Linked DNA regions of Ovis aries. The protein of the gene in region 6 binds, or shares a complex with, the protein of the main gene of each other region. Links are inferred from orthologs where the notes say so. Each region holds a gene or a part of one and is shown on either strand. Other genes may lie near its edges. The genes, in order: BUD13, SNRPB, PPIL2, LSM7, RBM48, SNRNP40 and LSM4.

The links.
Region 1: SNRNP40 (region 6) and BUD13 share a complex: the UniProt entries of both Homo sapiens proteins name them as parts of the minor spliceosome. The link is inferred for Ovis aries from reciprocal best matches to the Homo sapiens genes SNRNP40 and BUD13.
Region 2: SNRNP40 (region 6) and SNRPB share a complex: the UniProt entries of both Homo sapiens proteins name them as parts of the U4/U6-U5 tri-snRNP complex. The link is inferred for Ovis aries from reciprocal best matches to the Homo sapiens genes SNRNP40 and SNRPB.
Region 3: SNRNP40 (region 6) and PPIL2 share a complex: the UniProt entries of both Homo sapiens proteins name them as parts of the minor spliceosome. The link is inferred for Ovis aries from reciprocal best matches to the Homo sapiens genes SNRNP40 and PPIL2.
Region 4: SNRNP40 (region 6) and LSM7 share a complex: the UniProt entries of both Homo sapiens proteins name them as parts of the U4/U6-U5 tri-snRNP complex. The link is inferred for Ovis aries from reciprocal best matches to the Homo sapiens genes SNRNP40 and LSM7.
Region 5: SNRNP40 (region 6) and RBM48 share a complex: the UniProt entries of both Homo sapiens proteins name them as parts of the minor spliceosome. The link is inferred for Ovis aries from reciprocal best matches to the Homo sapiens genes SNRNP40 and RBM48.
Region 7: SNRNP40 (region 6) and LSM4 share a complex: the UniProt entries of both Homo sapiens proteins name them as parts of the U4/U6-U5 tri-snRNP complex. The link is inferred for Ovis aries from reciprocal best matches to the Homo sapiens genes SNRNP40 and LSM4.

What each region holds. Positions count from the first base shown.
Region 1 is NC_056068.1:27,150,694-27,154,193, forward strand, and holds part of BUD13 (BUD13 homolog), read right to left. Parts: intron 1,853-3,500; coding exon 1,747-1,852; intron 1,387-1,746; coding exon 1,248-1,386; intron 945-1,247; coding exon 760-944; intron 520-759; coding exon 438-519; intron 1-437. UniProt on the Homo sapiens protein: Involved in pre-mRNA splicing as component of the activated spliceosome. As a component of the minor spliceosome, involved in the splicing of U12-type introns in pre-mRNAs.
Region 2 is NC_056066.1:52,396,632-52,399,692, reverse strand, and holds part of SNRPB (small nuclear ribonucleoprotein-associated proteins B and B'), read right to left. Parts: intron 1,428-3,061; coding exon 1,316-1,427; intron 1-1,315. UniProt on the Homo sapiens protein: Plays a role in pre-mRNA splicing as a core component of the spliceosomal U1, U2, U4 and U5 small nuclear ribonucleoproteins (snRNPs), the building blocks of the spliceosome.
Region 3 is NC_056070.1:72,128,805-72,132,304, reverse strand, and holds part of PPIL2 (RING-type E3 ubiquitin-protein ligase PPIL2), read left to right. Parts: intron 1-119; coding exon 120-182; intron 183-980; coding exon 981-1,032; intron 1,033-1,840; coding exon 1,841-1,892; intron 1,893-3,500. UniProt on the Homo sapiens protein: Has a ubiquitin-protein ligase activity acting as an E3 ubiquitin protein ligase or as an ubiquitin-ubiquitin ligase promoting elongation of ubiquitin chains on substrates.
Region 4 is NC_056058.1:19,032,477-19,036,615, forward strand, and holds the start of LSM7 (U6 snRNA-associated Sm-like protein LSm7), read left to right. Parts: upstream 1-1,339; 5' UTR 1,340-1,358; coding exon 1,359-1,364; intron 1,365-1,511; coding exon 1,512-1,602; intron 1,603-4,134; coding exon 4,135-4,139. Other genes in the region: SPPL2B (signal peptide peptidase-like 2B), read right to left, coding at 1,133-1,339. UniProt on the Homo sapiens protein: Plays a role in pre-mRNA splicing as component of the U4/U6-U5 tri-snRNP complex that is involved in spliceosome assembly, and as component of the precatalytic spliceosome (spliceosome B complex).
Region 5 is NC_056057.1:10,622,833-10,626,800, reverse strand, and holds the start of RBM48 (RNA-binding protein 48), read right to left. Parts: upstream 2,801-3,968; 5' UTR 2,789-2,800; coding exon 2,678-2,788; intron 2,152-2,677; coding exon 1,961-2,151; intron 1,955-1,960; exon of another isoform or gene 1,257-1,954; coding exon of another isoform or gene 1,183-1,256; intron 482-1,182; coding exon 336-481; intron 1-335. Other genes in the region: peroxisomal ATPase PEX1, read left to right, coding at 3,148-3,273. UniProt on the Homo sapiens protein: As a component of the minor spliceosome, involved in the splicing of U12-type introns in pre-mRNAs.
Region 6 is NC_056055.1:236,101,907-236,105,406, reverse strand, and holds part of SNRNP40 (U5 small nuclear ribonucleoprotein 40 kDa protein), read right to left. Parts: coding exon 3,451-3,500; intron 2,411-3,450; coding exon 2,288-2,410; intron 1-2,287. UniProt on the Homo sapiens protein: Required for pre-mRNA splicing as component of the activated spliceosome. Component of the U5 small nuclear ribonucleoprotein (snRNP) complex and the U4/U6-U5 tri-snRNP complex, building blocks of the spliceosome.
Region 7 is NC_056058.1:4,695,295-4,698,534, reverse strand, and holds the end of LSM4 (U6 snRNA-associated Sm-like protein LSm4), read right to left. Parts: intron 3,136-3,240; coding exon 2,952-3,135; intron 1,137-2,951; coding exon 1,045-1,136; 3' UTR 501-1,044; downstream 1-500. UniProt on the Homo sapiens protein: Plays a role in pre-mRNA splicing as component of the U4/U6-U5 tri-snRNP complex that is involved in spliceosome assembly, and as component of the precatalytic spliceosome (spliceosome B complex).

The DNA.
Region 1 (3,500 bases), on a different chromosome or scaffold from region 6:
GTGAAGAGATAAGGTGGTAGGGATCAGTACGACATTACAAGTGACTCACTCCTAAGGCAGTGAAGAAAAGGTTCAAGAGCTACATTTTAAAGATACAATATACAGAAGGCTACAGACTAGCACCCATCACTCAATCCCCTCTAAACCTTAAGAGAATATCACCAGAAGTGACCAACATCAAAAAAAAGGTATCTATCTGGACCATTTCGGCTATTTACCCAGAGCTTTAAAAAGCTTTGAAAAGGGAAAGAGGAGAAAGAGGAGTGATATGAGCATGGGAAACGGGATTTGAGAAACAGAAGCAAGCACACTGCACATTACTAACCTTGTGGTTAGAGCAGAGAACGAGGCAGAGTGTACAACGACTTGAGAACAGCCAGGGAAGGTCAGGGTTACAAGGAAGAGAAAATAAAACTGTAGGGAATACTCAGGCTTACCTGTCCACTCCATCCCAGCGATACCCTGGCCAGATATTGAATCTATTGGGAGGGGGCGCAGGGCCACTGTAGCGAGGTCTCACTAAAGACAGGAGAGAGAGAAAAGTTAGTTACCTACGTAATTTAATTCATAGCTGAACGGTAGTGAGGAAAAAATATTTTATACGGAAATCTCTGACTGAGTTCAACTTAAATTCCCAAATAGAAGGAATTTGAAATTATACAGGACCACCTTCTTTGCACATATTTAGTATCGTCATTCTAATGATTCTCTCTCTTCACATACATCACCTCTATCTCTGATGATTCCCAGAAGGCTCACCTTTCTTATTCTTATTCTCCTTGGCCGCCTTCTTCTTGATGAAGTTGGCCATGGGGTCCCCCTCTCTTTCCTGTTCTCTCAGCATCCGATCCAAATCTTCATCATCAATATAGCGGGCCAGAGGCTTCTGCATTTCCTTCACTGCATCCTCCACATTCTGTTGCTGCTGCCGGGTCTGGGCAAGCCTGGACAAAAAGAACCAGGAGTGTCTGCTATCCTGTGTAACATCTCTACTCTTACACTGAGATGGACCATACTTCCTCCTCTTCCTAACAGTCTATGGCAAATACTGAAAAAGGTAAACTTCCCAGAATACCAACCAGAAGTGTGAAACATGTCAGTACTGTAGGAAGCAGACTGAGCACACTGAAGCTCCCATTGCTAAAAACAGCTTTAGAGGCAGAACAATGAACTAACTGGTCAGGAGAGGACAGAAATTATTTCCTCCAGTAACTGCAGTCTTGTGTGCCTTTCAGTGGCTCTCTTACCCTTTGCCCCACTGAGCATACAGCTCTTCTCTCTTCGAGTCCTTCTCTGCTTTTCGCCTCTGCTCTAAACGTTCCAGTTTCAAATTCCTCTTACGACCAGACTTATCTCGAAATACAGTTTCAGCATGTTGGAATTCAGCTGCAAAGGAAAAGTACACTTTTAAAGATAAACGAAAAGGTGTCAAAATCAGAAATAACATTCTAACAGCTGAAGTCAACCAATTAGTGTTCTGATGCAGGATAAGAATTTTCACAGCCAGACCACAAGTAGTCCTTACCAACATCTAAATGCATATTGGTGATGATTCTGAAAATTAACATTTTTTAAGAAGGAAAAGATCCACTTGCACCCAATGAGAAGTTAAAACAAAGCAGAAAACCAGAATTGAAATTTGATAGCAATTAAAATTTTTAAATATCAGGTAAATTAGCTATATATATTTTTTAAAAGTAAAAGCTACATAAGCCTCAACTGGTCTCTGCACTTTCACATTTTTACCTTCAAACGCCATGGTCTCTTGGTCCCGTTTCTTGAGCTCCTGCTGCTCTCGCTGTATGTCAGTTAACACCAACCCAGTTTTAGCCCCAGAATACATGTGCGCAGCCTATGCAATGGAAAAGGGAGCATCCAGCATTAATGAGACAATGTGGCAACAGGCTCCGTGGTGTACAGTTACGTCTGAGGATCAGCAATTACCAAACCAAAAACGCTACCTTCTATTCTCAGTATCAACCATAGGATTGGCAAAATAGAAGAAATAAAACTGAATTTCATGGAAAATTAACAGTACTGTTAAGTTTAAGTGCAAACAGAAACACAAACCAACAATTTACTAAAGGGAAGGCTGAAAAAAGTGAAACTTTTAGTCGTTCAGTCATGTCCAACTCTTTGTGACCCCATGGACTGTAGCCTGCCTGGTTCCTCTGTCCATGGAATTCTCCAGGCTAGAATACTGGAGTGGGTAGCCATTCCCTTCTCCAGGGAATCTTCCCACTCAGGGATCAAACCCGGATCTCCTACACTGCAGGCAGATTCTTTACCATCTGAGCCAAAGGGCAGGCTAAGCATCTGTATTTCTGACTTTTCAGCATATAAACTGCATACATGAAGACTCTCAGGTCACCTGATCAGAAACCTCTATCAAGCTCTGAGCCCTTCAGTAGAGATCAGCACTGAAAATATTCCATTTAAATCACAAAGTCAAGCAAACCTATCAATTTCAAACGTGAATTTGTGGCTATATGTCAGGATAATGACAAGATATGACCAAATCCAAACTTTTTACTAAAACCCACCCTGTATCAAAATAACAAACCACCCCACGATCAATGTATATAAATTATATCCTAATATCCTTAAGCAATGTGCTAGGTACTTCCCTGGAAGTCCAGTGGTTTTCAATCCTTGGCTGGGGAACTGAACAAAGATCTAGCATACCATGCAACATGGCCAAAAAAAGGCAATGTGCTAAATCTGATTAATATTAAATTGTCCGTGGACTAAGCAGATACATAAAAAAGACACTGGGTCCAGCTGAAACACTGACCTCAGTCCGTTCCCTACATCCTGGGTTAGGGACTGACTGGTCCCTACCAGGACCACATGGACTATAGAGGAGTCTGTGTTGTCCCGAAAAGTCTGTGTTGAGGTAACATGGACATCACAGCCTCTTTCTTAACCAACTCACTGGAATAACAGTTCTTTTTCTTTCCTTTTTTTGTTTTTGTAATAACATTTCTGTACTAGTAGTGGTGTTCTTTACAACACAATTTCTTGGGGTTCATGTGGATTTTGTTAAGTCAGCCTTCACTGCAGATTTAAAATAATACAAAACCCTTACTTCCCAGGCGATATGATTTTTAAAGTCGTTTTATATTTTAAATGCCTCTCTTTAAGCTCTGGATACAGAGACCTACAGTCCAATTTATAATAGTAAATGGCTTACACTAAATGGTTACTTTGTCCCAGGCCCTGGGCTAAGAGTTCTACTTACACTACCACATTTAATTCTCAAAAGAACCTGAAGTATGTACTACCATCATCTACATTTTAAAGATGAGGAAACTGAGATTTAGAGATATTATGTATCTTGCTCAAATCTCACATAAGAAGTAGAATTCCATGTGTGATCTGTTTAACACAAAGTTCGTGATCCTAGGTTCACTCTGTAAACTACGTTCTCAGTTTGTTCATAAAAAATAGGAAGTTTTGTTTAAGTTATTAAAATGAGATTTGTGGAACTGAGAGAATAT
Region 2 (3,061 bases), on a different chromosome or scaffold from region 6:
AAACACTATCCATTCCTGTTAACACCACTCTTCCTCCATCCAAGATTATATGCCCAGCAGGCTAAAAGAACTTAAGGGTTTTAAGTCAAGAGAAACAGGTACAACTCAACCAATATGCATTCCTATGAAAATCAAATAAACAGCCAAGCCTCCACCCCAAAGGGTATCTATGTTAGATTAGTGTTTTGACCCGACAAAGAGATATGAGGTCCAGTCCCAGCTCTGATTCTCACTTGGTGGGTAATAGTGGGGATAGTGGGCAAGTAATCCCACCATTCTAGTACTGCTTCTTCATCTACCAATGAAGAGGTTTTAACAAAACTGGTTGTGGTCCTGAAGGCTTACAATCGGCTACATTAGAGTAGCAAATTCTACTGGAAATAGATACCAAAGCTATGAATAGGTACCTAGGCCTTGAATCAGAAACATGGTAACATCCTTTGCATATAAGAGTCTAAACAAAAGGAAATAACTAGGATAAACTACTCTGCACTCACTTGAAAGTATCTTTAAGTCATTAACATGACTTTTGAATACAGCAACTGGAAAAATGTTTACAATGTTAAGTTAAAAAGCAGAATGATACACACCTATTACAAGTTTAAAAAAACCCAACATATATATATGTGGACAAAAATTAACACAAGGTAACAAGATTATTCCTTTAACAAACATTATCTTAAAACGAAAAAGGGGAAACAAATTTGGTTAGATTCTCTAAAGCCTCTCCTATTTCTAAAGGGAGGCTGATGTTAATGAACCAATACTGCTTGGAATCAAATGACAGTTTCACCACTTTCCAGCTGTGCCACCTTGTGCAGGTTACTAAATTTCAATTGGCATTATCTATAAAGCGGGAATAATCTATCTCAAAAGACTGTTACATGAATTAAATACTGAAGGGCGTGGCAAATAGCAGATGCTTAATTAAATATTAACTATTATTCTATAACTATACAAAAAATATACATGCATTCTATTGTTTGGAGTTACAATTTTTTATGGTCCAACTAGACTGTCATCACATTAAGAACTGATCCAGGAGGCCTTAGGTGCCTCTTCTATTGACTAGGTACATCAACTAAGGAAAAGAGGGCTTTAAAGTTACAAACCCTCAAATCCTAGTTCCTTACTTCTGACTTGCAAAGGAACCTCTTTAAGATTCTGGTTTATTATCTGTATAAGGGAAACAGAAACCAGAAGATACCTATGAGAACTGCAATGAAACAGAGAACCCCACACAGGGCCCAGGTCAGGGTGGCACCTCCCTTGCACAAGGTTCCTGGCCTTGCACTGGCTCTCAGTTCTGACTTACATCTTTTGGAGGTGGTCCCTCTACTGTCATTGAGACCAGGTTCTCCCCTCGAAGTAGTACAAGACCGAGGACTCGCTTCTCTTCTCTCTCTGCTTGCTTTGAGTTCTTTGGTCTAAAGACAGGTTTAGGAGAAGAAACAAAACAAAGCAAAACAGCATTAGAAAAAGGGTAAAGTTCATGTTCACCTACCTAGGGGCCCTCCGAGACTTTTTTTACACTAAATCTACTGACAGGCTAAACTTGTAACCTCCCCCCATTTGATGGTTGTCTCCCATGCCAAGAGAATGCACAGACCAAGAGACAGGACAAGATTCAAGAAAGCCCAGCCCTGGCTCACTCACAAAGCCACTGTGAAAGCCTTCCCTCAGTCAACTCTTTGTTGCCATTACCCTTTTTCTTCCTTCAGTTTAAGGCCTTAACAATGTCAGGAAGGCAGTCGGAACAATTCCTCAAGTCAACTGAATCCCATTCACTCTACTTACATGCAGTATCCTTCTAGTATTAATTCAGCCCCACAGAACTATAACTCTGTCTCTCACCTCATATTAGAAATAGAAGCCATAAAGGAAAAGGTTAAGAGATTAGCTACATAGAAATTACACTTCTATCCTCAAAGAACAAAAACAAATCTCCAAATATCCACAAGTAGAAAAGGATGAGCAAAATATAAACGAGATAGACTGGGAAAAAGTAATTGCAACAAGACAGGGAAAGGAAAGTCAAAGCCAATATCCTAAAGTTAAAGGAAATACAAAATATCTTGATTTTTAAAAATTACTTAAAGTTTTCATTTTAATGATATTTTATATAAATTTTCTATAGGTGGTCATTTTTTCCTCTTTTTTAAAACTTATCTATAGTTCTTATTTTTTTTAAAAAAAGCATGTACTGCCCTTTCACAATTTAAAAAAAAAATCCTTTCTGGGTCTCTTAAGTTTTTTCTCATATACTTCTATGTACTTTTACAAAATATTTTCTAATGGGCACATTTTCATTACCAGAATAAAGTTAGTCTCATTTAAAAATGTTGGCCACTCTCTAATGTACACCGGGCACTCAGCCATCACTACCATTTTCTGTCTTATACTTCTTGACCTCATGCCACAAAGAAAACAAAAGTCCCAAAGAGAATTAAAAGGAACTGACAGCCACTGGTAACACACTATGGACACTCCAGTGGCAAAAGAGAGCTGGATGGTCAAGGAAATTACGTAACTTCTTTGGGCCTCAAGATGCCTTTACTGTATAAAACACTAGACCACATCTTTTACCAGGCTAGAAGCTTAAGATCGGTGAGTCCTAAGACAAGGGAATTATCTAACAAATTATGGGACTGTATTCTCCAATTGTTTCTGTAAATGACAACAAAAATCACTGGCCCCAAACCCACAAGGGGAGTTGAGCACTTACCCTGAAGAGGGTCAGAGGCTTCTTAAAGCAGTTTCAGACCAGGCTGCACTGTGAGAGCCCTTTAGGCTACAGCTTTACAAATAGGCAATGAGGCCAGAAAATCAAGCTCTCCCCCCTTACACACCTGTGGGGAGAACATGAGAGCCCTTTACCCCAGTACCCCCGGGCACACAAAATCAGAGAAATAAAAAGCCTGGCAGCCCTACTTACAACTTGTACTCTGCTAGAAGTAAAGAGCAAGACTAAGGAAAGAGATTTAAGAAACTCTCCATTTTAATCTGCCCTGTAAAACAGGAGAGCAAACTGAGAGGAACCAGCCAGCTAGTCACCACCTAA
Region 3 (3,500 bases), on a different chromosome or scaffold from region 6:
ATGCAGGAGCGGGGCCCGCTGCGCAGCGAGGAGCGGGCGGGGCCCCCGACCACGGCCGCCCGCCAGCGTCTCTGGGTCGGGAGAGGGCGGCGCTCAGGAGTGACTCTGCTGCCCCTCAGTCTCTCTCTGCAGCCCTTCACCTACCCGGTGTGCACTCCCGAAGGTGTCGTCTTTGACTTGCTGTGAGTTTCCCCTTGACGTCTAAGCTGGCAGATGTGGTGAGGTTGCTGGCACCCACCTGAGACAGGGCGGCGGGAGGGTGTGGGCTGCAGGCAGGGCCACGCTGCGGGCCTGCAGCCTCCAGAGCCCTGGGTGGGCCTCTTGGGGATGGGAGGGGCAGCACCGCTCTGACCTCTGCCTGGGGGCCCCCAGCGTTCTGATCCGCACCCCCTAGCTGTTGGAATATTGGAGAGTGTGTAGCTTTCACGTCACGAAGGCGGAGCCGTAGTCGAGGTGCCTGCCTCTCTGGTGCTGCCCTCGGAAGCCTCGTGCCCCGTCTGTGTTCCGAGGACGCAGGCTTCTGCCGTTCCTCGTGACAGCCTCATTTCAGAAAATGCGGAAAGCGCTTCAGATGAAGGGGAGACGGGCGCTGTCAGGCTGGGCCCCTTTTGCCTGGGAGGTGTTTGTGGGAACCTGGTAGAGATCACACCGCGAGGCTGGTTCCAGACCCACTCTCCAGTCACAGCGAGAGCGTTTCGCCCCCGTCGTCCAGAACTGTGCGGAGTGTGGTTCCGAGGCTGGCCCGGTACCCGCAGCAACGTGTGTGGAGGGCTTGCCATTAGTGGTGTTTGTCCACGCTTGTGCACAACGGCAGGAGAAACCCCAAGCGGCCACTGGTGCCTGCGCGGCCAGAAGCACTCCTTCCCGTGATGAGGCGGAGAGAGAGGGCGGAGCAGCCCCCAGCCCCTGGGCAGCCGCCCCCCAGCCCAGTCCCCGGCTCTGGCCCGTCGCCGTCTGACACGCTTGGTCTCTTCCTCCAGGAACATCGTTCCTTGGCTTAAGAAGTACGGGACCAACCCCAGCAACGGAGAGGTAGGTGGCCCTGCAGGAGCTTCGGTGAGGCCGGCGAACGCTCTAGTGTCACACGCGCCCGTGCCCCCTCCCTTCCCCACGCCTGTCCTCCGTGGAGCATGCCCCCCGCGTGCCCACATGTGGGGTCACACAGGGGCAGCCTCCTGCGGCGGCACCGCGGGCTTTGGCATCCCCTGCTGTTACCAACGCTGGCCAGGCGCACGTGCAGTGGCCCCCAGCCTGCCGGCCCCGGGGCTGCGTTTTCGGCCTGGTCACTCCTGGCACGTTGCCCTGGAGGAGTCGAAGCATTCTGGGCCCCTGCTGGTGGGTGTGAAGGGGATTCGGGTCCTAGACCCTCGGAGGCGCTGGGCGTCCCACCCCTCTGGGCGATGCTCCTTACGGGCTGTGTGGAAGCTAGCTTCCCACTGCTGGCGTGCTCGGTGTGCCGTGCTGGAGAGAACGCAGGATCGGCCCCTCCCGCCGCAGCCCTGCACACCTGCCACAGGCCTGGGCCCGGTTCCGCCGCGCAGGCTGCTCTCCGTTCCCTCGTGGCGTGCCTGCAGTTCACTCCCGGCGGGGTGTTAGCGCTGCGGTGCGGGGCCGGCTCTGTAGCGGAGCAGGACCAGGGACCAGGGTGCTACCTCAGAGGAGGACAGGGGCCTGGGGGTGTCAGGGAGCAGCGCCAGTGCTGTGAGACCCAGGGGTGGAGACCCTTGTTCTGGGCGGGAGTTAGGCCAGAGAGAGCTGCTGCCTGCCACACTGGCCTGGTGGCCTCAGCACCTCCGCACGCTAGCTGCTTCTGTATTTTCATTGATTCTGCTTCTTGCAGAAACTGGATGGGCGGTCCCTGGTCAAGTTGAACTTTGCGAAGAACAGTGAAGGTGAGCAGCCTTTCCGGCCTGCTCGGGTTACCCGAGCCCCACCTCTCTCCAGGTTCTTACCTTCCGAGCAGGCCAGACGCTTGCTTTCAGTTTATCAAAAATGTTATGCTGTCTTCCTAGAGGCACAGGTAGTTTAAAACTGGGAACAGATAAACTCAGACGCCCGACAGCGGCCGGAGGGAAGCTGGGGCTGGAGATGGGTGGCACACAAACTCGGCTCTCTCGACCCTGCAATCATCAATTAAGACACAAGGCCAAGAGGGCGCTCTCTAGATCAAGGGTGGTAAAAAATTTAAAAAGGCACAGTTGAGGGCATGAGCCTTCACTGTGGGGCACTTGGGCCGTGTGGGCTGAGCTGGGCCCCTGAGGGCACAGGCCCTGCCCAGCTGTGGTCCAGGTGTCACTGGAGACGGAGCTGCTCAGGCTGAGGCCCAGGTGGGCGGCTGGGCGTGGGGCTGGGGGCTCTTGGGCTCTTTCCGCTCGGCTCGGCATTGGTCGTGCGCCCCGGCCCAGTCCCGGGGCCCCGTGCTGCACCCCTGCGTGCCCTGCACTGCTCTTGCTAGCCGGACGCCTGTGTGGAGGCAGCCTCCGCGAGCACTGGCCTTGTTCTCAGTTCCCTATGGGCCTGGGCGTGTGCAGGTGCCCTGGGGGAGGGCTGGGTCAGGGTTTGCTGGTGGGTGCGTTCCGGGAATGCTTGGAGGCCGGCCAGCCCCCAGCAGGTGCGGACAGCAGTGAGGAGCCAGCCGGCCTTGGCGGCCCGGACAGTCTGGGTGCTGGGGAGCTCCTCGCTCCGAGAGTGGCTCCTTCACAAGCGTTCACTGCGTGCCTGCCTGCCACGTGCAGACAGTGAGGGCCAAGCCTCTCCTGAGATGAGAGGGCGGGCTTTGGAAATGAGGTCACTGCGGTGGGTCAGACTCGGCCTGTCCTGGGGTCAGAGGTGAAGTGGGCCAAGGGAGAGGGGCTGGGGGCCAGCTGATGGAGTTTGAGGGGGGCTCTGCAGACAGGTGGGGCGTGCCCTGTGGGGAGAGCGCTTCAGGCAGAGGCCCAGCCGTGACAGGCCCTGCGGCGCGGGGCCCATTCTTACTTGCCCGGTATGAGTGGAGCAGGGGCAGGGGCTGTGGTCTGGGGCAAGCTGAGGCGGGGAGCCCAGCAGTGTCTCGGGCTCAGATTCGAGCAAGGAAGATCTGACCCAACTTGGTTTCTTTTAATTACTTACTTGGCTGCGCCGTGTCTTGGTTGGAGCATGTGGCATCTAGCTCCCGGACCAGGGATTGAACTTGCATTGGGAGCATGGAGTCTTAGCCACTGGACCCCCAGGAAATCCCCCTCAACTGTGCCTTTTTACATTTTTTACCACCCTTGATCTAGAGAGCGCCCTCTTGTGTCTTAGCTGATAGTTCAGGGTCGAGAGAGTCGAGTTTGCGTGCGGCCTGTCTCCAGCCCTAGCTTCCCTCCAGCCGCCGTCGGGCATCTGAGTTTATCTGTGGTCCCCTCCGCTGTGTCGGTGCCTTCGTGCCGGTTCACGCTTAGGTATTTGAGTGTGTCTCTAAAAGCTAAGGACTTAAGAAACGAGACACTCGTCATACCTAGGAAGTTAGTATGAATTTG
Region 4 (4,139 bases), on a different chromosome or scaffold from region 6:
GGAATGTGGCACCCCTAAGCTGAGACCAGAAACACAACGTTGGAGGGAGTTAGGTTTCAGGGAAACAGAGCCCAGTGAGCAAAGTGCCTTTAATATGCTAGAGTTGGAAACAAAGGATGGTTTCCTGTCAGCCGGATCACAGAGTCCTCCTGAATGTGTCAGTGGCACCAGAAAGCTCTCATTTGGACACAAGATCTGACACACTTTGAAAGAGATCCCTCCTGCAGGGCTGAAAATGAACTGGGAGTTTGGGGGACAAAAGCGGCCTTGGAGAGAAGCCAGCAGCCTGAAGCAGAGGTTGGGGGGCTGGCACAGAAAGGGCAACGTTAATGGCCCAGTTTGTAGGGCTGTTGGTGGGGGGGGCACCATTTCCGGAGTTATGGAATTTGGGAGAGAGGGAGGGTTTGGAAAATAAAAAATGCACTCAAGGTAACGTACATCAGCCATCTCCAGGTCTGTCCCCCAGTGGCGACCCTTGAGGTTAAGTGACAAACAAGTAGCATGCCCCACGTCCGGGATCCCCTACATCATCTCGCTGACTGCGCACTGTACACTTATCCTCCTTTTGCAGACGACCAACTCAAAGCGGGAACTCCCCTGCCAAGGTCACGGCAGAAAAAGATGGGGCGGCGATTCGACCCCATTCCAGGGCTGGGCTCCTGGACGCTTCTCGACGCCGCCAGTCACTGGGTGCCACGCTGGGCAGTTGACTACAACCACGGGGAATGGGGGTAGTATCGCTTTCAAGGGGATGCCAGGGTCAGAGAGGGGTAGCCCCCGACTAAGGCCACGGAGTCAGAGAGGGGAGTCCCAGAGGCGGTTGGAGACCCCGAGACAGACCAGCAGGGGCCGGGGCGGAAGCGGGGTAGTGGGACCTAAAACTTTAGGTCCGGGCGGAACCCAGTGACACCACGGCTGGGAACGGCGTCCAGACAGAGAAGGGAGACCGGCCGGGGGACAGACCCGCAAGGTCACGGTCGGGCCCCAGGCCCACGGGTTGCCGGCACCGGGGGCGCGGATCCCCTAAGCTGGCCCCAGGCCGGTCAGGGCGGGGTTCTGCGCGGGGCCAGGGAGGGGTGAGAAGCCGGGGCACCGTGGCCGGCGAGGCCAACGGGGTCGGCGCCGCCCTCACCTGGGCCGCGAGGAGAAGGAAGGCCGCTGCGAGCCGCGCCAGCGCCGCCGCCGCTGCCGCCGCCGCCATGTCGCCCGGTCCCCGCCACAGGCGTCGGCAGATGTTTCCCAGCAACGCCCCGGCGCAGAGCGCCGCGCAGGCGCCCTGCGTCTTTCGCGCATGCGCGCAGGGGTAGGTACAAAGGGCGCAGTGGCGGCGCCTGCGCATAGCGACGCGGCGCGACAAGATGGCGGTGAGCGTGCGGCGCTGCTGGTGGGGTTGGCGGGTTTCGCCGGGCTGGCGGGGTTCGCCGGGCTGGCGGGGTTCGCGGGGCTGGTGGGGTTGACTGGGGAGAGTCCAGCCGTGCTCCCCGCTTCACAGCGTTCTGCATCCCCTGCAGGACAAAGAGAAGAAAAAGAAAGAGAGCATCTTGGATCTATCCAAGTACATCGACAAGACCATCCGAGTGAAGTTCCAGGGAGGCAGAGAAGGTGAGGCCCCGCTGCCCTCCCCCTCCACAGTCCACGAGGAGTAACGGGAGGCGGTACCGGTAACGGATGCCTGGGCCGCGCTTTAGGCGCTTGGCTCGGACAACTCGTCCGGCCTGCTGCCGGCGCCGGCGTATAGGAACGGTTACACCCCTTTTGCAGGTGGGAAAACTGAGGCACGCAAAGGGGCCCAAACCTCGCCCGCAGCCACAGGGGCTAGGATTCAGGTCTCTGCTTCCTTTGGGTCTTGTCTCACCCTGGCGGCTGCCCCAGCCCCCCATGGGCCCCCTCAGCACCAGGGTTTCTCAGTTTCAGCACTGCTGACATTAAGACCGTATTGTTCTCTGTAGGGGGCCGTCCTGGGCGCTGTAGGGTGTGGAGCAGCATCTCTGGTCCCATCCACTCGATTCCAGGAGCCTTCTAGTTCTGATGACCACAGGCATCCCAGACCTGGCCTGGTGTTCCCTGGCAGGGGCAGAATTGCCCCAGTTGAGAACCCAGGCCCTATACTCAATTTACACGAAGCCACCTGAGGCACCTTTTGAAAGCAAACCTCATCTCCTTGTTCACCACTGTTCCAGGGTAAAGAATGAGCCTTTTGCTTTTGAGTGAGGCAGGCAGCTCTCAGCTGCTTTGGGAAGCTCTGCTTGACTCTGCATCCCAAGTCAGGGTCCTTTGGTATAAGCTCCTGGTAACAGCTGTCAGGGCTTGGCAGGTTTTTTTCAGTTACTGTGAGGCTTTAACTGCATCTCCCTCTGCGATCTCGTGAGGAGACTGGCAGGAAAGATGATGCAAGGTTACGTGGAGAGTGCCGTCCAGGGCAGAGCCCCAGCTCACTGGCTGTGGGACTTTGGGCAAGTCGCTATAATCTCTGAGTCTGTCTCATCTGTCAGAGGCTGTTAACTCCACTTACCTCAGCAGTGGTGGTGAAATTAAAGGGTAATGTCATTAGCCAAGTTCCTGACACTTAGTCAGCACCCAGTGCTTCACTTATTCAGCTATCTCTGATCTTCAGTTTCTTTGTTGGTAAGATGGTGATTCAGACGACTCCTCCTCTGAGATGTGGACGCCTGGGTAGCATCAGAGTGGCTAAAAACACAGTGCCTGCCCGTCTAGGTACCCAGCCCAGTGAGGCTCTGAATCTGAACAAACACTGGCACCATGCCGGTTCTGGGATGTACAAGGAGATGGGGCTCCTGCTTCTCAAGGCGCTTGTGTTTGTCTTTTTTTAATTAATTTAGCTGCATAAGGTCTCAGATGTCAGGCCAGGTCTCTCTAATTATGCCATATGGGCTTAGTTGCTCCATGGAATGTAAGACCAAGGATGGAACCCACATTTGCTGTACTGCAGAATGAATTCTTAACCACTTGGACCACCAGGGAAGTCCCTTCTGTTCATTTTCTGTGCTTCAACAACCCATTTTTATCTCACAGCACCTGTGGTTCCAGACTCCAGGTGCCTCAGGCTCAGGTCTCTGACGAGGTTGCAGTAAGGGAGCATCTCTGGGAGCCTGTATCTCAGGCCCGGGGTCCTCGTTTTCTGGCAAGTGTTGGCCAGGGACCCTCTGGGCTCCTAGAGGCTGCCCACTGCCTCTGCCACAGACACTGTCCACAGCATGGCAGTTGACTCCTTCAAGGCTAGCAGAAAAATCTAATTTTTTCAACTTCTCTTTTCAGAAAGGGCCCATCCTTTTAATGGCTCACCTGTAGGTCAGGCCCACCCAGCATAGCCTCCCTTTAGATCCACTAAGAGTGGACTGATTCATGGACCTTGATCACATCCACGAAGCCCTCTGTTACAGCCTGACCACAGACTGACGTCTGATCGAGGGTCCCATCTCACATCAGAGGGAGGGGTGGGGGAATGCTGGATTCATCTGAAAATCCCACCCACCTGCTGCGGCACCTCCCCCAGTAAGAAGGGAGGATCCACAGGTGTGGGCTCACTACCCAACCCGGGGCCAAGTGCCCAGATGGATTCTGGGATTTGTCACTCTCCATCACCCCACTTGGTGAGCACCGTCACAGGGTTGAGGAGGGCTGTCAACAGCAGAGGAAGCAGAGCCAGGGCCTCGCACTCAGGCAGGCCTGGCAGACTTGTTCTGCAGAAGACCAGACAGGGAACATTTTCAGCTGTGCTGGCCAGACGGTCTCTGTCGCAGCTCCTCAACTCCACCATTCAGCAGCTGAGCTGCCACAGCGACATTTACCAAATGAGCGGGGCCGGGCTCTAGTTAAACTGTTTACAAAACAGGCGCAGGCGGATTTGCCGACTGTTGCAGTGGCAATGGTGTGGGGTCAGCTGTCACTGCTCGTCTCCTGGGAGCCCTTCCCTTGCTCCCCCTTTGGTCCTGCATCTGTCCTGTCCCTGAAGAGGCTGCTGCCACGCCTGCGTCTGGCTGGGGGGTGGTCCCTCACCAGTGAGGGCACCCCAATTTCATGTGCTGACACCCTCGTGCAGCTCGCACTTTACCCAGAATGACCATTGATCTTATGCTTGTCCATCTCTCTTCTCTGCTTGGTGATTCCGATAAGCCAGT
Region 5 (3,968 bases), on a different chromosome or scaffold from region 6:
TTATCTCAGATTCACATGTCAGCTGCTGTGTTGTGGTTATATTACTCACAGTTCCTTAAAATGCATGACGCTCATTTATTCCTCTGGCCCATCTTTCCATCTGTTCCTCTCCCTTTCTGGGTAATGTCTACTTTCCCTTCAGAACTCAGCCACCATTCTCATCCTGCAGGAATCTTCCATGAAATAACATCTATCCCTTCCCAGGCAAGATTACATAACATTCTGTAAAGAAAAAACTTCGTAGCTTATAGTCACTAGACTGGGAAAACTCTAGGAGGGTAAACTCAGCAAAATGCCTGACACATTGGAGGTGTTTAGTAGTAGGCTTTACATACCTTTATTTTTAGTCATTCTTGCTACATAAGCATTCCTCTCTTGTAATTTCTTTCTGGTTTCTTCAACTGTTTCAAATTCTGGAGCATAGCACACATGAAGCAAGCCACCAAAGAAACTCTGCTCATCCATTTTTCTCTTGGCCATCCTAAGCAGAAATTCACGATACCATGGTTTACTTAGGGTGAAAGCTTAACCAGCATACAATGCATTGATCTAAAAAGCAAAGTCCAGACTTTGTTGTATACATAAATCCTATAGCTTCGGAGCTGCGATGCTCTGCACGTGAATGGTATTGACCCTACTGATCCACTGCATATTCTTTCAGAGCCTTTTTCCCCCTCTCCCAAGAGTCTTCATAGGTTTTAAGCTAAGTTTTCCAAACATATCCAGACTCCCTTTAACCAACATAAGATTCAGCTGGTTGGCCTGAGGTACACAATCTGTGGTCATGAAATAGAGATTCTGTGTTAAAAGGCCCTCAAAAATTAGCTCATGCCCAGCTTAGCCTTTTTAGCACAATGTGTTCCTATAATGGGGTTCAAAGATAAGAAATTAATAAAAATATTACAATTATAAACATTTAATAATGGAGAAAACACAAATATATAACAGTAAATGAGAAAAGGAGAGGATAGTATTCATTTAATGTATACTTACTAAACATCTATGACTGGCCAGGAATTACTACGAAATTAAGTACTTCTGTGTCCAAGGTAAATGGTAAGAAATATTCACTGAGATTTTACCATGTGCCAGGCAGTGGCCTAAATGCTTCACTTGAAATCACACTTCTCAACATCCCTATGATGACTCTGAGGCATGGGGAGATTATTTGTCCAAGCTCACCTTGGTTTGTGGAGCCAGGATTCAAATCCACATGTCACACTGTAAAAGGGGTGTGGGAGATGCAAAAGCTTCATGGAATGAATACACAATAAGGAAATATACTTCCCTAACCATGAGGAGCTGGCAAGTTGGTTAGGGCAGTGAGATTATACATAAGAGCAACTGGAGAACAATATATGACCCATATACCCCAGTACTGTTTGTAGCACAGAAAATGTGAATTGTAATAGCCAGGGAAGGGATGGGTCTTGAAGCAAATTAGTGACAAGAATATAAGATGAGGCATTTCATATTTCCCTTACTACAGCAGAGGATTTATGCTATTCAGAAGAAAAAAAAAAAAAGATGGGGTCAATTCATATAGGTGCATAACAAGAAACCTAACAGCTAATGTTGTTTACCGCATTCTGAGCAGGAGGCATCTGCTAAGCCCTCTACATGGATTATCTCATTTCATCCTTACACATTTTATAGGACAGGAAAACAGGTTTAATGGGATTAAATAACTTGTCCAAGGTCATCATGTTAGTAAGCAGTGGAACCTGAAAACTTAGTCCAAACCCAGTTTTTAATCTACCACACTACAAGACAGAAAATGGTTACACATGGGGATGACCTAATGGACAGACTTTTGATAAAGCTAACACTTACATTAAGAATACTGGAGAAAAATAAAAAGCCATGTTAGATTACTGAGTAATTCATGAAAGAATGAGGGAGGCCAAAATGATAGCAATGGGAACAGAGGAAATGAGACACTGCCTGACTTGTATATTACCTTGCGCTTTGTAAATTGAGAAATTTAATAAGATAAACTTCTGTAAAGTCTTCTGCTGGGTATTCATCTAGAGCATTATACTGTTCAATTGCACCATATAGAGCAAATCGCTCAACTAATTCCTTCATTGCTCCCACGGCAGGAACTCCTTGTATTAATAAGTACCAAGACTCCAAATTGATTGTATAGACCTAAAAGAAATGCACACGCATTAAATGTGTTTCACAAACAAGCCTAGGACAACCTGTTACTATTCAAAACAAACAAACAAACAAAAACCCTGAAAACAAGAACTACTCTGTTCAGGTCTGCAGAAAAGGTGTTTTTGTTTTTGTTTTTAATCTGCCCTTCTCTTTGTAGAAACAATAAGTCACCCTACATGTGAGGGCTTCGAGCTAAAGCACATAATAGACTACCTCCAATCGACATGTCTTCAGAAGCTGCCTCGGTAAATGTTACAGGAAAGAGTTAAATATTCACTACTGTAAACACGGAAGATACGACTAAAACACATACCCCGTTTTCACGGAGCTCCAACAGTTGACTAAAGAGGCCGCGAGAGTATCTGCTACCTGGGTACCGGCGTCCCTCACACTCATCTCCAGCAAATGGATGTGACCGCAGCCTTTCAAGACTTTATTTACATTAACTGGGCGTGTGAAGCTACAGCTTACATAAAGCTACCGACGACAACGAATGAAACCAAAATCACTTTACCTTCACAGCGCGAGGCCGTCGGCCCTCCCGATACTTGGCTCTCGAGTCACACACAGCCCTTTGGACGTGGTGATCGAATACGCCCCCAACTTGCCCTCCACTGGACGCCATCTTGCCGGCTTTGGCCCTCGCAGAGACGACAACATCCGCCTGTTGCCCTCCTGATTACCCAATCAGAGAGAGGGATGGGTCAAGGCGCGCCGAGATTGGCTGAAGGAGCCACAGGGTTGGCCATCGTTTCCTGTGAGCAAGTAGGCGGCGAGCGAGCTGCCGCCCTCCAGCGGCGCGGCGGAGAGGCCCGGCGAGCCGGACTGGGCTGGCCTGCCGCTCCAGCTCCCGAGGCGCGGCGGGCGCGAGGGGCGGGGCCTGGGGGCGGGGCCGATCGAGCGTAGCAGGCCCGGTCACCCTCGGTCCGCAGGCAGCCCGGGTCCGCTGGGGTGGGCCTCCGGCGGGGCCGTCGCTGGCGGAGGATGTGGGGCAGCGGTCGGCTGGCGGGTGCTGCTGGCGGGGCGGCCGTGACCGTGGCCTTCACCAGCACGCGCGACTGCTTCCTTCACTTGCCGCGGCGCCTAGTGGCCCAGCTGCACTTGCTCCAGGTAACGCGCCCGCCCCATGGACTCCCCAGCCCGGACTCGGGACTCCTCGGGGGCCGTCTGCGGCCGCCCGGGACCCAGGCCTTTTCGGGACGCAGCGGCCGCTCGGGCGTCTCCCGACGGCGGGACGCGGGCTGCTCTCCCCGCGCCGCCGACCTGTTCATCAGCCAGAACGTGGGCCGCTCTGGAGCAGGGCCGGTCCGGGCGGTCTTTGCAGCCCTACCACGTCGGGTGCAGCCCCGGGCCTTTGCGTTAACTTGCCGTACGTATTCCAGGTCTTCACTCGGTGAAACTGGGCTCTCAAACATCCTGATAATTTTCTCTCTGAGTTCAGCTATTCCTCACTCCAGGTTGGAAAAGCTTTGGAGAAGTCGGGTTTGTCTGCGGATTTTGTTTTGTTTCGATCGTAAAAAACGTTTTTCCTGCCAGTGGTTTCCAGGTGCGCCTGCCTGGCTGTGGCCCAGGAGTCCCTGTAAATTAATAGAGACTGAGCCGCGAGCGAGATAGGTTAATAAGATGAAGGTTCTCGCTGCGTCTCCGCTGCTCGGAATACCTCCTAGGTGTGCCCGGAACGTGCAGTGGGATTATGCATACTTGGACCTCTGCAGTTAGTTGCCCTCTGGACATTGTGATTGTGGTAGTTCATAGTTCTAACCACATCCCTAGTTTCGTAATTATAAAATAGGGGCACCTGGTCT
Region 6 (3,500 bases):
TGAAGAGAACAGCGTCAATAAAACAATGGAGGCAGAGCCAGACTGATGAGCAGTGGTCAGGAGACATGGAATTGATAAATGAAAGGGAGATAAGGCATTAAAGACAGTGAGTGTAGAAAATATTCAGGGGATTTCTCACACGCTTACTCCTTGGAAGAAAAGTTATGATCAACCTAGATAGCATATTCAAGAGCAGAGACATTACTTTGCCGACTAAGGTCCGTCTAGTCAAGGCTATGGTTTTTCCTGTGGTCATGTATGGATGTGAGAGTTGGACTGTGAAGAAAGCTGAGCGCCGAAGAATTGATGCTTTTGAACTGTGGTGTTGAAGAAGACTCTTGAGAGTCCCTTGGACTGCAAGGAGATCCAACCAGTCCATTCTGAAGGAGATCAACCCTGGGATTTCTTTGGAAGAAATGATGCTAAAGCTGAAACTCCAGTACTTTAGCCACCTCATGAGAAGAGTTGACTCATTGGAAAAAACTCTGATGCTGGGAGGGATTGGGGGCAGGAGGAGAAGGGGACGACCGAGAATGAGATGGCTGGATGGCATCACGGACTCGATGGACATGAGTCTGAGTGAACTCCGGGAGATGGTGATGAACAGGGAGGCCTGGTGTGCTGCGATTCATGGGGTCACAAAGAGCTGGACACGACTGAGCGACTAAACTGAACTGAAATGAATGAGAGCAAGACTCTGGGCCCAAACTCTGGGTTTTGAATCATTGGTAAAATGGCATTGTGCGTGTGCTCAGTTGCTCAATCCTATCCAACTACTTGCGACCCTGGGAAGCCCATTAACAGCACTTATTTCATAGGTCCATTGTGAGGCTTTAAAGAATTATAATGTAAAGCTCTAAGAACAACAGGTGGCACAGTGGTAAGCAATTCAACTGCTGATGTAGGAGATGCAAGAGATGCGTGTTTGATCTCTACATCAGGAAGATCCCCTGGAGTAGGAAATGGCAACCCACTCTAGCATTCTTGCCTGGAAAATTCCAAGGATGAGGAGCCTGGCAGGGTTCGAAAAAGAGTTGGACACGACTTAGGGACAAACACGCACAGCATGTATTGAGAACAATGCCTGACACATTTAAGTGTTAGAGGATGATGATAACAGTGTTATGATCATAACCACTATCACCATCTTTAAAGAGGCTTGGCTGTAAAGGGGAAGACTGACAGGGCAATAACAAGACAATGTGGAACTGAAGGCAGACTCTTTCCCCTACCAAGAGAAGACCTGAGCATGGTGAAATGCTAATAAGAAGCAATACAGTTGGTTAAAAGGATAGGATTTGGGAAAACTGACAGCATGAGGTCCCAGAGACAGGAAAGAAAGGTTGAAATCTTTCCATGTAAGGGACTCCCGGTAGATAAAAGGACATTCCATTCATAGTAAGAGCAAAGGAGGCAAGGAGAGATGGGACTACAGTACAATTTCTAGGTAGAAACAACATAAGAAGTTGAGTATTTACCCAATAATTACTACTCTCATGATAAAGCATAAGGTAAGTCAAAGTCTTTGAAATACCTAAGCAAGCCAATAAGTAAAAGCAGAGACAAACTGAGTCGCCCCCCCGTCCCCCGACAAATTTCATACTTACTGGCACCTGCCATGTCCAGAAACTCTGCTAGGTGCTCTACTGCATTCGGCTCATTAATGCCCAAGACAACTCTACGCGATAGATATTGTTAACCCCTACTACATACATAAAACAGAAAGCAAAAGAAGTTAAAGAACTAGTGTGAAGCCACAAAAAATTAGAGAATAGAACTGAGATTAGACTCCAAGGCAATTACTTGAAAGCTTGAGCTGTATTATACTATTGAGATGTCTATTGCTTCTTTTCGTCAACATCACTACCTTCTCACATTCTTAGCTATGGATCCCCCAAAACTTCTTTTGTATAGTTTAAAAAACAAAGACACACTGAGAGATTACGGTACAGAATCACAAACTGATTTACTGCTATCTCAGTGAAGGCAATGGAGGTTAAAAAAAGTTTCGAATGCTGTTACTCAGCGAATACACTCTTCATTTTTCAGAGTTCCCACACAGGGACTTCTCACTTCATATAAACTGCCTGGTCCCTGATGGACAGGGACCATATAAGTTGTAATGCAACCCTGACACAGAAGTCAATAAAGACAAGACAGAAAGAAAACACGTTCTAATTTATCTTTCACGTAGGTGGTATAAAGTGCAAAGTTAAGAAGTTGGAAAGACCTACTTCTGTAAATGGAGACAGGTGAAAAGTAAATAGAACATAAACATCTAAAATACCTTGATATCATTGTCTATTCCACCAGAAATAATCTGATCACTTGTATCATTGAAAGTCACAGCTAAAACTTGGTAGGTGTTCTGAAATGTCTGGATGGCCGCTTTCTTGCGGATATCCCAAAGCTGAAAAAGAGGACAAGAAAGTCTATAATGACAACACTCTAAGAAACAACTGCACAGCACACCCATAAATCTAAGGACTGCGGAAGTGGAAACATCTGTAAAGGGACCCTGTTCAGAAATTTGTCTGATTATCCCATCAACATGGTGAGAACTGACTATAATTTTGCCAATGTATCTGAATGCTGGTAGAATAAATCACTTTGGTTGTATTTTCAGATTTCTTTGTTAAAAGTTTGAATACATGTGGTTAATTAAATGCCCTTAGAGTGGACATCTTCACCATGTTTACTAGTTCATTTGTTCTGCACAAAGGATATTAGACCAGTGTTTTGAAATTATAGATCTTAATTCATTATTCAGCTACAACTTACATTTAAAAATATATATATACACACATATGGAGAGGAGGTTACATCAATGAAAATGGCAGAGTACTGAGTGCCCAAAGACTGTCCCTCTAGAAAAGCAGAAGACTGGCAAAACTGTCAGAAATCAATTGCACCAGAACTCTAGAAACTAAAGTTTACAGCAACTAGGTAAATACTGAGGATAAAAACCAGCTGCGTCCTAGTAAGAGGGCTTTCTAGTGCTTTAACTTACCCTGGCTCCATCCTCACTCAGCAACAGCTTTGAAAACAACATGTACTGACCTTTTTGTACACTGACTGAAATTTCAAAACATCCTTGTAAGACATGTATATTACTGTCACTAAAGACTGAGAAACTGAAGATGACAAAAGTGAACCTAAAGTCACATAATTCAGTAAACACTAAGTAAAGAATCTAATTATTCTTGGATGGTGGTCTACTTTATTCCAAGTGACAACTGTTCTACATGGTTGTAACAGTCTGTAGATTCATAAAAAAAGAAAAAAACCTCAACTGCTTATTATCTGAAGTGTATTTTAAAGAGTGTCTGTTTTGGGAAATGTTTGATGAAACAAAGTTGTGGAGAGAAGGGTATAGCATAGGTGGGAAGACAAGGTAAGTGTAACATTTTGTCACCTCAGAAACCCTCAACAGAGACAGACAACACCCACCTTAACTGTACCGTCATCACTGCCAGTGCAAACAAGCTGGGGGCCCCTCC
Region 7 (3,240 bases), on a different chromosome or scaffold from region 6:
CGGTCAAAGGACCACATCGCCGGAAGTGTTCCGCACAAGTGCTGGCTCAGCGTCTCAGGCAAATCGCTGAGTCGCGGACAGGCAAGTGCCCCGACCCTAAGAGGAGGTAAACAGTTCGTGAAAAGCCTTCCTCATGTGTTCCTGGAGGCAGCTCCATGTCACGGCTTCTCAGGGAGCTCTGCTGTGAACAGTGCTTGCACAACAGAGATGGAGGCTGAGGACAGGCAGTGTGGGTGTCCCACTGGCTCCCACCCACAACTTCCCTCCCCCACCGCCCCACAGAGGGGAAGGGGCTCCCCTACTGCCCAGACCCCCATTTTGCCTTCCACCTTTTGTAAGAGGCTGCTGAGGGTCATGGGAACCAGTGTCCCATTGAAATGCTTCCCCTTGGTGAGAGGCCACAGGGGGCAAAAGGAAACTTCTTGCGTGGGGGCTGTGATTTCCTGAGGACACTACAACTAGATTCACCCAGTGGTTCAAAGGAATTATGGATTTCGCAGTTTGTAGTTGTATTTGTTTTTATTTTTCTAAGACAAAGAGGGAGAGAAGAAGGGACGGAATAGGGCCCAGCATCATCCCCCAGAACAGCTTCTGAGGCATACGTTTGCCTGGATCCATTTCGAAAAGGCAGTTTCAGGGTCCGTGTTTCAGGAGACCCTCCAGGCTATCAATCTCAGTGCAAACAGCTGAAAATAAAAACCTCCCGTCTGTTTACCACACAGAATGCAAAACAAACCTGTTTGGAAAATGCCTGCCCTTAAAACAAGAGTGAGGGCTTTAACGATGCATTAAACACAGAATCTTCCAGGAATCCAGTTGGCTGCGGCTTCACAAAACCAGAAGCACAGAATTAACATTTCCAACCATAGAACTGCTGGCTAACAAAAAAAGAGGAGGACCACCAGAGGACAGGCAGGGGGTCCTCCCCGACCCCTGCCTCTTCTTTTTGTTCTGAACAGTCATAAACTGGAGACCAGGAATGCAGCCTCAGGGTGGGAGCAGGTGCTCGGCGCGGCAGCTCAGTCTCGGGAATGGAGGGGCGGCTCACTGTTTGCCCGCCTGTCTGCCTGGCTTCTTTTCTGGTTGACCTCTGCCAGTCCCAGGGATCCCACCTCGGCCCCGGCCACCGAACACACCTGTGAGACAGGAGGGGGGGTTCAGTAGAGCCAGGCTGGGAGGGTCACTGTGGGCAAGGACCAGGAACTGGAACCCTTAGACTATAGCCAAGTCGTTGAACCCCTCTGAGCCTCAGCTTTCACCTCTGTAAAGTGGGGGCAGTGACTGTACCGTCGGTGGGAAGAGCAGGTTGAAAATCTGAGATGGAGTGTCTGACCAGGGCTGGGCAGGGGTATTGCTCCACAACATTCTCAGTGTGACAAGGGATATCAGACCAGGCGCCCCAGGGGTGCGAAGGATGCCAAGAAGGACAGAGGTTGGCATCAAGTCACACTGGGGCTTGCGGGGGCGGCGGCGGGGGGGGGGATATGCTTCCTGGAAGAGAGGGCTGAGGGCCAAGGTGAGGGGGTGGGTAGTCATCAGCAGGACAAAATCAGAAGGGTTTCCAGGAGGAGCTGGGAGTACAAGCTAGGATGAGGCCTGGACTCAGCCCAGGGGTGGAGCAACGATGCTCAGCTCTGTGACTGGGGCTGCACCGGGGGACCCCACCCTGCCTTGCTGAAACAATGGGGTGGGGTGGGGTCTCTGTGTGTCCAGCCCAGAGAAGGGGCGGGGGAGCCTCCTGAGCTCTGACCTCTGCAGCCAGAGGTGGGGCTGTTTCCGAAAGGCATTTTACGTGGAGCACACAGCACTGCTGCTGGGGAAGGTGAATAGCCCAAGGGTGGGTGCAGCCCCTGCCCAGGAAGTCACAGAAGCAGCAGCCTGGCCTTCCAGGGCCCCCTTCCTCCACACGCATACAGGGGACAGGGCCAGGGCTGACAGGGTCTGCCCAGCCTCATCTCTAATGGAGCAAGACCCAGCTTGGGCAAGGGGAGCCTGGTCATGCAGGGGCCCCTATGCAAGCGCCTCTCCCTGTCCTCCCTGCTCCTTCAGGCAGTTTACTCGACAGCGATGGCACCCTGGGTGGGCAGCCTAGCCCTGGGGGCAGGTCCTGGGACCTCTGGGGCCCTGCTCACCCCCATCCTAGGTTCTTCTCCACCTGCGGTGCCCTCTTCTCTCTGGCTCCTTTCTGTCACTCAAGCCTCAGCTCAGGGGGGCTCCTATGTCTTTCCTGGCTCTGCATATAAGCCTCCAGGGTGGGTTCCTGGAACCTGGCATACAAGCCCCTCCAGGTGGGTGAGACAGAAGTCGGGTGGGGGAGGGTGGGGCCCACAGCTGGCCTCTGGGCTGCGGCTCTAGCTGACTGCACGTTTAGTTTTATGCAAGATTTATGATTTCAGGGTGGTGCGGGGTGATCTACCCAAAAGGCGTGACCTTGGTTTTGTCTAAAGGAGTCACAGCAGGGAAGGGTCCCAGGCTGGGCACCACGGGGATCTTCTCCGCAGGGGGGAATCTGAGCCTCCCCGAGGTGCCCAGAGCACCTGCCAGGAAACACAGGTGGGGCTCAAGTCCCAGGTCTGTGTGGGTGCTGGGTTAGTCTGCTGGGCGGCATCTGGAGCTGAGGGAGCACCAAGAGCCACTGCGGGGAGGAGGGCCCATGTTGTGAGGATGGGCGCGGCCAGCACTGACCACTAGGGCTTAGCTGGGCTCCTGGGGTGGGGGACACGGGGCATGCAGGTGGCAACCAGCAGCACCAACTGTTCCACAGAAGAGCCCCGTGAGTCACAGCCCCCCAGTGCCATGGAGGAGGGGCGCAGAGCCAGGCCCTCGGCAACATGACGCCACCAGCGGAGAATGCCAGCACTGGGCCAGGCCAGATGCCGCGCGCGGCAGTCACGCTCCAGCGGGGAGGCCCCGGCTGCCTGCCAGGGGAGAGGGCGGAGAGAAGGGCCTACCTCGCCCGGCGCCCCCCATCCCGCGGCCCTTCTGCTGCTTCTGCTGCTGCAGGCCACCGCGGCCACGGCCCTTGGCCACCACCTCCTCCTTGACCATGTCGATGATCTCGTCAGGGATGCGCAGGTACTTGATGGTGCTGCCGCGGATGTAGCACTCGGGCATCCGCCAGAATTTGTCCCCGTCCTGCAACAGGGGGTACGTGTCAGAGCCGTGGGGAGGAACGTGTAGGCAGCCGGGCAGCATCCATCCACTCAGGCTCCCTGTGCCTGGCGTCGCCCCCGCAGGGTA